Xenopus tropicalis: one gene and its partners. The protein of the gene in region 1 interacts with the protein of each later gene in a pairwise test. Links are inferred from orthologs where the notes say so. Each region holds a gene or a part of one and is shown in the gene's direction. Other genes may lie near its edges.

Region 1 (3,660 bases):
TTAACACACTTGGTGCTCTCTGTAGGGTAGTAAAATGCTTCTAAACCTTAAAAGCACAAGCATTCTTAAATGTTGGAGGCAAAGGTATCTATGAAATAGTAGGGTGGGGTTAATCTTGCAGGAAGGCACATTTACTGAAAGCAAGGAGTGGGGAAGTACATGGGCAGTTGCTTGTGCTTGTCTGATGATTCTTGCTTGAGATTGCGCATCACAGTCATTTTCCTCTACTTAAAGAGAAGGACAGGCTATATAACCAGGGTGTGCCAAAATGTTAGGCACCCCCCAGTGATTGTAATTGCTTAGTGAAACCCCAGCCAGGGTGTATGCAAGCTTGTGGTCCTTCTTCTTGCTTCTGTTCTCTTGCCTTATATTTATTTGGAGGACTGAAAACACCATAAAGTTTTTATAAAATAGTATTTAACCCATTCCTTGCTGGCAAAGAAGAAGAAAGCCTGCAGACACCGTATGGTGTATGTTTTAAAGTGTAAGGTTGCAGTATAGGAAAAGGCATAGTGCCTAGCAGTGTGCTTTTTATGATATGTTTTTTTGAGCTGGTAAAATACTGTTCTACCTGCACCTGGCTATGATTATTTGACAAAAAGACAAACATCATGGGTTACTGCCCATGTGGAAATTTGCCCAGTGTTTATAAATGAACCCCAATTATATTTGACTTCTGTTTATCTCCTCTTTAGTCTTAAACCTTTAATTATAGAGAGAGCAGAACATGCAGCTGTGATTGGGAGGTTGCGTGACATTGAGAGTCCTTGCCTTCACATCTCTGATGTACATGCACTAAGTAAATAATTTCCAGGTCACATGGTTGGGTGCAGCCAAAAAATAATTTTTGCTCGGTGGCCCAAGTGTAATTATTATTATTAACCTTATGAGAACTTTTGTGTGAGATACTGGCTCTTTAATGTAGCCAAGTAGCTGTAGTGATCTTATATAGAACTAAGATAAAATAGTTCTTACAATTACAAATCTTTTTCTCAGGCTGAAGCAGAGATTCAAGAACGTTATTTTGATCCCCTTGTAAAAAAGGAGCAACTAGAAGAGAAAATGCGAAGCATCAGAGAGCAAGAATGTCGTGTAGTTACTTGTAAAACGGTGAGTATATTGTAACAAGAATCCAGTTATTTCCTTTTAGACCTTTAAACCTTTCTACTTGTGTCACTGTAAGGAATATGTGAATATAAAGCCATCTTTTTGTATCCTGCAGCATGGCTTTATACAGTAATTTTTTTAGGGCAAGGTCATTGCACACGGGGAAGGGTTCTCCTTTGTTATGGTTTGCGAAGCCAGTAAGTCTGCCCATCAGACCACTTTTTTTCCCTATGTTGATAAACTGTTTCAGCTTTTCTGACTTTTCCCAGGCTTCCTTTCTATTATTAAATAATGCAGACTCTGCTCTAACTTCATTTTAGTGTTTATCATTTTTGTCCATGAACCCAAATGAAATGGCAGAATCTGCTTCATGACCCAAAACTTTTTTAAGAACTAGTTATATCTTAATTACTATTTTCTGTAGGTGTAAGATTTGTAAGATGTTATCATGGAGCCCACCCTAAACTGCATTGAAGAACCATCACATTTATCTCCAAGGGATATTGTTTGCAAAACTATGAGTTTAGAAAATAATTTTCCAGCAATGCAAAACAGGGCACCATGATATACTTTACTGACCTCTACAAAATTCTTTTTATTTTTTTTTTCTGCACAGTGCAAATACACTCACTTCAAACCTAAAGAGACATGTGTTAGTGAGAACCACGACTTCCATTGGCACAATGGTGTGAAAAGGTTCTTTAAATGTGCCTGTGGTAACAGAACTATATCCTTGGACAGATTGCCCAAGAAGCATTGCAGGTATGATACTCGTGAAAAAATTTCTGACTTTATTGTGCCTGAAAATAGTCATCTCTTACTATGCATGCGGTAGTTCGTGCAGGAGGGTTAGTGAGTGGATGAGCTAATGCTGACTGACCCCTTTATAAGGCTGTGAGAGTATCCAGTAAACAAGTATTATTGGCAGATTATGAGGAGGAATCTGAAAACCTATTCCTAAGGCAATTATAGTCAGTTATTTTCATTCAGGATGCTGCCGAATAAGTCCTACAAATCTCCCAGCCAGGGAAGCTTGGTGTGATACTAGGAATTCTAGTTCTGCAGCAGCTGGGGTACCAAAGGTTGACTGTCACTTCTCCATGCTTTACACACTGTATGTAATCAATTACGCATTTATTTACACTGTTCGTTATGTAAATTAAGCGGTCGCCATTTGGGAGGTACAGAGCACAAATCTAGTGTTTAATTTGTACCTTGTTAAGTTGGTCATTAGGGATAGGAAGGGTAAAAGATTAGGGGCATTGCTAATAAATTATAAACTAGTTGAAGAAATGTGTTTGGGTTAAGTGCTTAAAACTAGTAGATGTGCTGCTTATAAGAACTTAAGGCTTGATGGAGGGGAGGTTGGTGACAACAAAGGGTGGGGAAGAAACTATACACCGTGTTCACTGCAAAAAAACATGATGCTCTGTTCATGCAGGTTTCTGTTTACATGGTTTCTAGCTAATTATGTTGGATTTAGTGGTTAACAGATACTTTTAGTCACATCAAACATATTACCTACTGAGCCTGCATAAAAAGACCATACTACCAACACCAGTGGTTCCACACATCCATTTGTCTCTGATCAATGCCAGACATTTGTTTTCATGGCTGATTGCCATATACAGTGGAGGAAATAATTATTTGACCCCTCACTGATTTTGTAAGTTTGTCCAATGACAAAGAAATGAAAAGTCTCAGAACAGTATCATTTCAATGGTAGGTTTATTTTAACAGTGGCAGATAGCACATCAAAAGGAAAATCGAAAAAATAACTTTAAATAAAAGATAGCAACTGATTTGCATTTCATTGAGTGAAATAAGTTTTTGAACCCCTACCAACCATTAAGAGTTCTGGCTCCCACAGAGTGGTTAGACACTTCTACTCAATTAGTCAACCTCATTAAGGACACCTGTCTTAACTAGTCACCTGTATAAAAGACACCTGTCCACAGAATCAATCAATCAAGCAGACTCCAAACTCTCCAACATGGGAAAGACCAAAGAGCTGTCCAAGGATGTCAGAGACAAAATTGTAGACCTGCACAAGGCTGGAATGGGCTACAAAACCATTAGCAAGAAGCTGGGAGAGAAGGTGACAACTGTTGATGCGATTGTTCGAAAATGGAAGGAGCACAAAATGACCATCAATCGACCTCGCTCTGGGGCTCCACGCAAGATCTCACCTCGTGGGGTGTCAATGATTCTGAGAGAGGTGAAAAAGCATCCTAGAACTACACGGGAGGAGTTAGTTAATGACCTCAAATTAGCAGGGACCACAGTCACCAAGAAAACCATTGGAAACACATTACACCGCAATGGATTAAAATCCTGCAGGGCTCGCAAGGTCCCCCTGCTCAAGAAGGCACATGTGCAGGCCCGTCTGAAGTTTGCCAATGAACACCTGAATGATTCTGTGAGTGACTGGGAGAAGGTGCTGTGGTCTCATGAGACCAAAATAGAGCTCTTTGGCATTAACTCAACTCGCTGTGTTTGGAGGAAGAAAAATTATGCCTATGACCCCCAAAACACCGTCCCCACCATCAAGCA
Region 2 (3,660 bases), on another chromosome or scaffold:
TCAAAAAGGCTACACAGCCAACCCGGACTTTGGGTGAAGTGACTTGTCCAACATCACAGGGTACAACCAGCAGCCAAGGGTGGAATTGAACCCGCGTCTCAGTGGGGGTTGCCTACTGAGGGCGGATCCCCTAACCACTCGGCTACCTGGGACCTCCCGAGTATAAGAGGATCTATTCGTTCTCTTGTCTTAGATATGATGGTGATGTCATAACGGTGTGAAGGAAACATGCAGGGTTAAAGCCGGCTGCACCAAGACCTGTATGAGTAGGGGGACTGTTACATAAGCAGAGAGAATTAATCTGCAAACTGTGCTGCACTATTCATAACATAAAAATAGGCACAACATCGATTTGAAAAGTGTTTGACCTGAAAGCAGGTGCCTGTATGGCTATTCCAGCTGGACCCAATAAAGCCCTATGTGGGTTATATGAGAGACTTTCCATACAAGGCTGGCTGGCACTCTTATATCATGTATACTAACCGTATAAGCACATCGTCTTTAAATGTTGATTGCATCAATGTCTTAAACAGATTTTGTGTCTGTATGTCTATGTATATCCAATAATATATACGTAATTATGTTGGGTTGAAAACCCCAACGTACTGTTCTTCCACTTTAGCTTCTTCCGCTTCTTCTTCTTCTTAGCGCCCCCCCATTTTCTAAACGCTACTCCTCCTACAGTTTTAGGGGTACAATACCCAAACTCCCCACACATCTTCGCCCTATAGCAGAGCAGGTTGCTTGTGCTTTTCTAAGCGATCCGGACCCCCGTCTTTTTGTGGCGCCCTTCTGAACTCCCCAATTTTCCCATTGACTTTGACAGGGAAGATTTTCAAACTGCTGCCACACTTACAGCTTTGAAGCTACACTCCCCAAACTTGAATAACATAATCATGGGGTCACCCCGAATGAAGCAGCAACATTTGTTGGATGACCCCAAAGTGGGAGGGGCCAACAGCAGCCAATCATATTGTACCCATTGACTTTTATGGGAAACTGCTGCCAAACTTACAGCTTTGAGGCTACACTCCCCAAACTTGAATCACACAGTCATGGGCTCAGCCTGAATGAAAATATGATGATTGTTGGATGCCCTCAGAGAGAAATCCGGCCCTGGGACTGGCAGCCTACAGAAGGCTCTGTTTGGTATTATACTTGGTTTTTATGCAACCAAAACTTGCCTCCTTACCAGAAATTCAAAAATAATCATCTGCTTTGAGGCCACTGGGAGCAACATCCAAGGGGTTGGGGAGCAACATGTTGCTCACGAGCCACTGGTTGGGGAACACTGGTCTATGGTAATCACCCCAAACCCTTTTCTGATTGCATTTGTGAAATTATAAAGATGTTATTAAACATCTAATGCAGTGTTTTCGGTTAAATGATTAAACATTTATAAACAAGGTTGTAGCATGGCCACTAAATATGGTTTCTGGCCTTAAAGGGGTTGTTTACTCTTGAGTTAACTTTTAGTATGACATAGAGAGTAATTGGAGAAAATTTGCATTTGGTCTTCATTTTTTATTATCTATGGTTTTTTTAATTATTTCACTTATGTTCCGCGACTCTTCAGCTTGGGATTTTTAATAATTACCTGGCCAGAGTTCAGTGACCCCCATCTAAAAGTTGTAAAGAGTCCAAATCAATTTTGAATCAAATCATAATTAAACAAAACTATTCATAAATAATGAAGACTAGTTGGAAAGTTGCTTAGAATTGGCCATTCTTTAACATACTAAAACTTAACTTTAAGGTGACCCCCCCCCTTCCCTTTAGGGGTGAAGACACACAGAGCTACTAGTTGCAGCTACTTGTCATTGTCACAGCTACAGAAATAGATACAGCTGATCATTTACTGATTATTTTCTCTACATGTGTTTTAGCAAAGGCAATTCTCAATATTGTCTATGGCAGGGTATTTTCTGGCATTTAGTAGCTGTGACAAGTAGCTAAGCTAAGTAGCTCTGTGTGTCTTCATTTAAGCTAAGCTAATGTGTATAACCCCCTTTCCTTTTGTTAGAAAAAGGAATTATTTAGGGCGTTGCTAATGAATTGGTTCATTACTTTTTATTAGTTCATTACTATTTATATTGGGTGCAAACCACTAACCCATGCATTTAAATAAGACAAAGACATCCTGTTTAGTTAGATCTGCATGCAGTGATTTATAGAAATCTTCTAGGCTGATCAAACTACAGAAGGCCCCATCTGGCATGGCTTGTACCTATTACTGAACAGCAAAAAGAAGCTGTATAAAGAAAGGCAATTGTTGATCCAAACCCATGTTTCTATAAACAAACTGATTTTCCATTGTTGTTGTGTTCCTCTCTTATTTTTTGGTGTTTATTATTTCCATAATGCTGCATGCTAAGTACCACTATAGGTTTGACTCAGGTGTTATAACTTAAGCTATTTCATCAAACCTACAGGCATTTCTAGTGGCATCGTCTCAGTGGTTTCTTTATTTAATTGTCTTGGTTTCTAACATGTCTGTGCATGTGTGCTCCTTTGGTGATGAAGTGAAGGTCCAGCACCCAGCTGATGCTTATGAGACATGTACGATAGCATTCAGTGAAATGCAAGTTAGGCTTGTTCCCTTTCTGTCTTAATTGTTTATTTTTTATAATTCTTTTTTAAATATTTGCCTTCTTATTCTGAATCTTTCCAACTTTCGATTGGGGATCACTGACTCTGGTAGGCAAAAACTGCCCTGTAAGGCTACAATTATATTGTCTCTCATTTAAACCACTGTCTGGTTGCTAAGATAGATTGAGCCATAGCAACCTGATGACTGATGAAATTCCAAACTGTAGAGTTGCTGAACAAAAAGTGAAATAACTTAAAAAATGAAGACCAATTGCAGATTGTCTTACACTATTACCCTATACATTATACTAAAATGTTAACGGAAAGCTGAACAACCCCTTTGATAAATGAAACTGGAATGGTGTTTGTGGCCCCTATCTTTTCAGTAATCATATACCTTTTTGAAACAAATATCCAACTCTTCTGTTGTTTCCTTGCTCTGTGAGCTAAAAAATAGTCGTGATTTTTTTTTTATTTTTATTTCCCCTAAGTGATACTCCACATAAAATTGTGCCTTTGTTTTTCTACATGGCTGCATTCTTCCGCCCCTGCACTCATTTAAATTTCAGTGATTGATAGAGTGTAGCACAGAACTTCTATTAAGGTGCCAGCATCTATCCCTGTGTGGAGTGTGAAATTGTGTGTAGGTGTTGGCATTTAGAGAAGGCCTTTCAGTAACATGGTAAGAGACATTTTCACACTTAGTCACTGCTGTCTGATGCGCTACTGTAGCTTTTAGGCTTCTTATAGCATTTTAACATTTTCAGTGCTGTTATTAATAGTGTTGAGCTCAGAGATGAAAGGGATGCGCGAGACACCGTTCCATTTTAATCACCTGGTTGCCGAGTTTAACCCCTGTGTTCCCACACTGTTCTTTTCTAACAAGTGTTTTGTATTCTGACAGCTGCTGTGTGCTCCAAACTCGTTCTGCACATATTGCCAGGGATGAGCAGTGACAGCGACATTGAATGTGACACTGAAAATGAAGAACAGGAGGAAAACATTACGTGTGGTGGATTTAATGATAGCTTCACATCGCAGGCTCAAGGGGAAGGTAAGGAACTGTGCTGT
Region 3 (2,966 bases), on another chromosome or scaffold:
TCACCTCCACCCTGGAGCTACCACCACATCCTGACCAGGCAGTAGCTCAAGGGTTTCCTCGGCACCTGGGTCAATTGCCATTGTTTAGACGTGCCAAAAGAATAAAGGAAAAGAGAGGAGAGTAAATGATGCCTGGCAGGTATAGAAAATATTAATCGCAATCGCACTCTATTTGCAACAAAGTTAATGCGCAGTTGTGTTCATTTTAACAAACTGAATGCAATTGCAGTAGGTGCAGTGCAATTGCATCAAGAGCATCGCTCATTTGTGACTACAATGACACTGGAATTGTGGGGAAAAACATGACTTTAATAAACTTATCAAGGATGTAAGGATTTGTGCTAAGCATTCCTCACTTATTTACCTGAATAGTCCCTTTTACTAAATTTATATTTTCAACACTGATTTAGAAAAGCACTTTAATAACAGTATGTTGAACATCTGACTTTTAATAACAAAATATTGATCTGTAATATAGAGCACTTGTCACTGCTGATTGAATATGTTTGGCAGAGCCTGATTAAGGTTACCTACATGGGGGAAAACTTTTGGATTATTTTTTGTTGCAAAGGTATTTCTAGGTATTTTGAGTATAATTTTTTAGTATTGGCAATTAAGTTGTAATTCAGAGAGTGTGTTGTCTCTTTTTATTTATGTTAAAATACAGTTCACTTTCTGAGGTCTTTCTGCACAAATAATCGCACTGAGAGATTTCAGTTTGGTGATTTTTTTTTTTGTATTTGCCATAACCTGGTATAATACCTTTACAGCAAATTTGTGCATCTATGTATCTTAAAATTAAGAAATTATTTGTATCACTGAATGACCTTCATTGTAGAGCAATCAAAATAAATTGTCAGTCTACTATAAAGCCCTGTGAAACAAAACCCCTCTCTTCCCTCAGCTACAGCCTGTTAGGCTTTAAGATGAGAAGCAGCTTTTATACTACTTTCTAACTGCTTTGATTGTGTTTGAACTGCTAAATTGATTTGATTGTGCTCTTAAAAACCATATTTAGACTTGAACTTTTAGATTTAGTGCAGCAAATAACACATGCATGTTTCTTTATTATAACAATTGGCAACAAGAATATTCATCATAAGCCCTATTCATCAAAAGCCCAGTTAATTATTGAAATGTTTTTATAACATGTAATTTTTCTTGTTTTTACAAATCGCCATGTGAAATAAAGTATGTATGTATATAATTATAAAGCACTACTTATGTACGCAGCACTGTACAGTAGAATAGATTAATACAACAGGGGGTTATTAAAATAATAAATACAAAGTATAACAATAAATACAAATAAATACTAGGTACAGTTGCAATAAGTTAACAATCAGAAAGACAAGAGGATGGAGGTCCCTGCCCCATAGAGCTTACAATCTAAATGTATTTTGGTTTTTATCACAGTAAGTTTAGGGATTTTACTTGTTCCTTCATTTTACCAGGTACCTTTGTATCTGCTGCTATTGTTTGATCTGCTACTGAGCACAATTACAACAGACTGCTGATTAACATCGCAAAAATCTGTACCTTCTGTTTGGTTACCATTACTTTAGCAGTACCATGTTTGTTGGTATATGTGTAGCATTATATGAACGTGTAAGGGCATATGAAATATATATCTTTTCAAATTTTAGGGTATGTAAACAAAAAGCTAAATTTTTTTAATGCAAAAGTAATTCTAAGCAATGTTTTAATATACATCAAAAACATTTTGATGGTTTTAACACTTTGTAAATGTAGAATTGAAAGCAACATTTATCTGTCAAATCTTGAAACAATGTAGCAGAAATCAGCTCTCCTCCAACCAAGGCTCTCACAAAGTCTTTTAGATCCACAAATCAAAAGGTTACCTTGAGACTAGCAGATAACTGATTTCACTAGCTGTTAACATTTACAAATAACATTAAAACCGCTAAAATTTGTGTATATAGGGGCGTTTTAATTAGGGCTTTTTTTAATAATTGGATTTAGATTCCTTTTTAAGGGGATATGAAATCCAGTTCATGTAAATTAAAGTTGGGATGTTTTCACAAACTGGTATTAACATTGCTCTATTTCCAAATTGTTTGCAAGGATCATATTCTGATAGAACTGAACAAATCAGAATTAAAAACAATGGATGATTCAAAGGAGACAAGTGAAGATGCTGCTGAAGATCGAATTTTAGTTGTGAATCCAAATTATATGCTGGAAGATTAAACAGCAGTTTATGTAGGCAAACATATTTGGTACAAACTTTTCTTGCGAATAAAAGGGCGTAATTATGTCATGGTTTCTATGTCCAAAAGAAATGTAAAGTTAAATATATTAAAAATGATTTTGCTATAAAATTCCCTTTTGTCAGTTGTGAATATTTCTTTTTATTTATAGTGGGGCAACTTTGTGCAGAAAATACCATTATATTACAGAAGAACAAAATGGGAGCCGTAACACTGCGCTGCACTACAGTAAAGCCACATGTAGCATTTTTTCAGCAAGCCAAAAATGCTTGGTGAGAATATGCCTGGGTTGAGCAAGGTGGCTGACCAGGTTGCCTAGGGCATCAGGCATTGCACATTTTGCCTCACAGACATTTGCAGAGAGACTGCAGAGGTTACTACTTTTTACCTTACATTATTCAATGGAGTTAAATCTATAGTTAGTTAGATAACATTTAGGGGCAGATTTACTAAGACACGAATGCTCGTAGCGTTCATTCAAATGGTCTGAGCGTATTTTCGCCAAATTTTTTATCGCTTGCGCGACTTTTTCGGCGCCCACGCAAGTTTTCCATACGCTTGTGCGACTTTTTTGTACGTTTGCGCGAAAACATTGGAAAGGTTTTCCCACTGTTTACGATCGTACGGTACGAAAATTTTGTGACTTTCGGATCGCCAGTACGATATTATCGTGACTAATACGATTTTTTTGTAAACATTTTCGTGATATTTGTGATGAAATTTTCATATCCAATC

Evidence for each region.
Region 2: the proteins of mcm10 (region 1) and trim37 interact in a two-hybrid assay, tested with the Homo sapiens proteins (2 studies listed by BioGRID and IntAct). The link is inferred for Xenopus tropicalis from reciprocal best matches to the Homo sapiens genes MCM10 and TRIM37.
Region 3: the proteins of mcm10 (region 1) and mcm6 interact in binary tests that used the Homo sapiens proteins (3 or more experiments, as listed by UniProt). The two-hybrid records come from large-scale screens. The link is inferred for Xenopus tropicalis from reciprocal best matches to the Homo sapiens genes MCM10 and MCM6.

The regions. Positions count from the first base shown.
Region 1 is NC_030679.2:81,877,957-81,881,616, reverse strand, and holds part of mcm10 (protein MCM10 homolog), read left to right. Parts: intron 1-996; coding exon 997-1,110; intron 1,111-1,723; coding exon 1,724-1,869; intron 1,870-3,660. UniProt on the Homo sapiens protein: Acts as a replication initiation factor that brings together the MCM2-7 helicase and the DNA polymerase alpha/primase complex in order to initiate DNA replication. Additionally, plays a role in preventing DNA damage during replication.
Region 2 is NC_030678.2:95,276,489-95,280,148, forward strand, and holds part of trim37 (E3 ubiquitin-protein ligase TRIM37), read left to right. Parts: intron 1-3,493; coding exon 3,494-3,643; intron 3,644-3,660. UniProt on the Homo sapiens protein: E3 ubiquitin-protein ligase required to prevent centriole reduplication. Probably acts by ubiquitinating positive regulators of centriole reduplication.
Region 3 is NC_030682.2:59,226,770-59,229,735, reverse strand, and holds the end of mcm6 (maternal DNA replication licensing factor mcm6), read left to right. Parts: intron 1-2,085; coding exon 2,086-2,211; 3' UTR 2,212-2,332; downstream 2,333-2,966. UniProt on the Homo sapiens protein: Acts as a component of the MCM2-7 complex (MCM complex) which is the replicative helicase essential for 'once per cell cycle' DNA replication initiation and elongation in eukaryotic cells.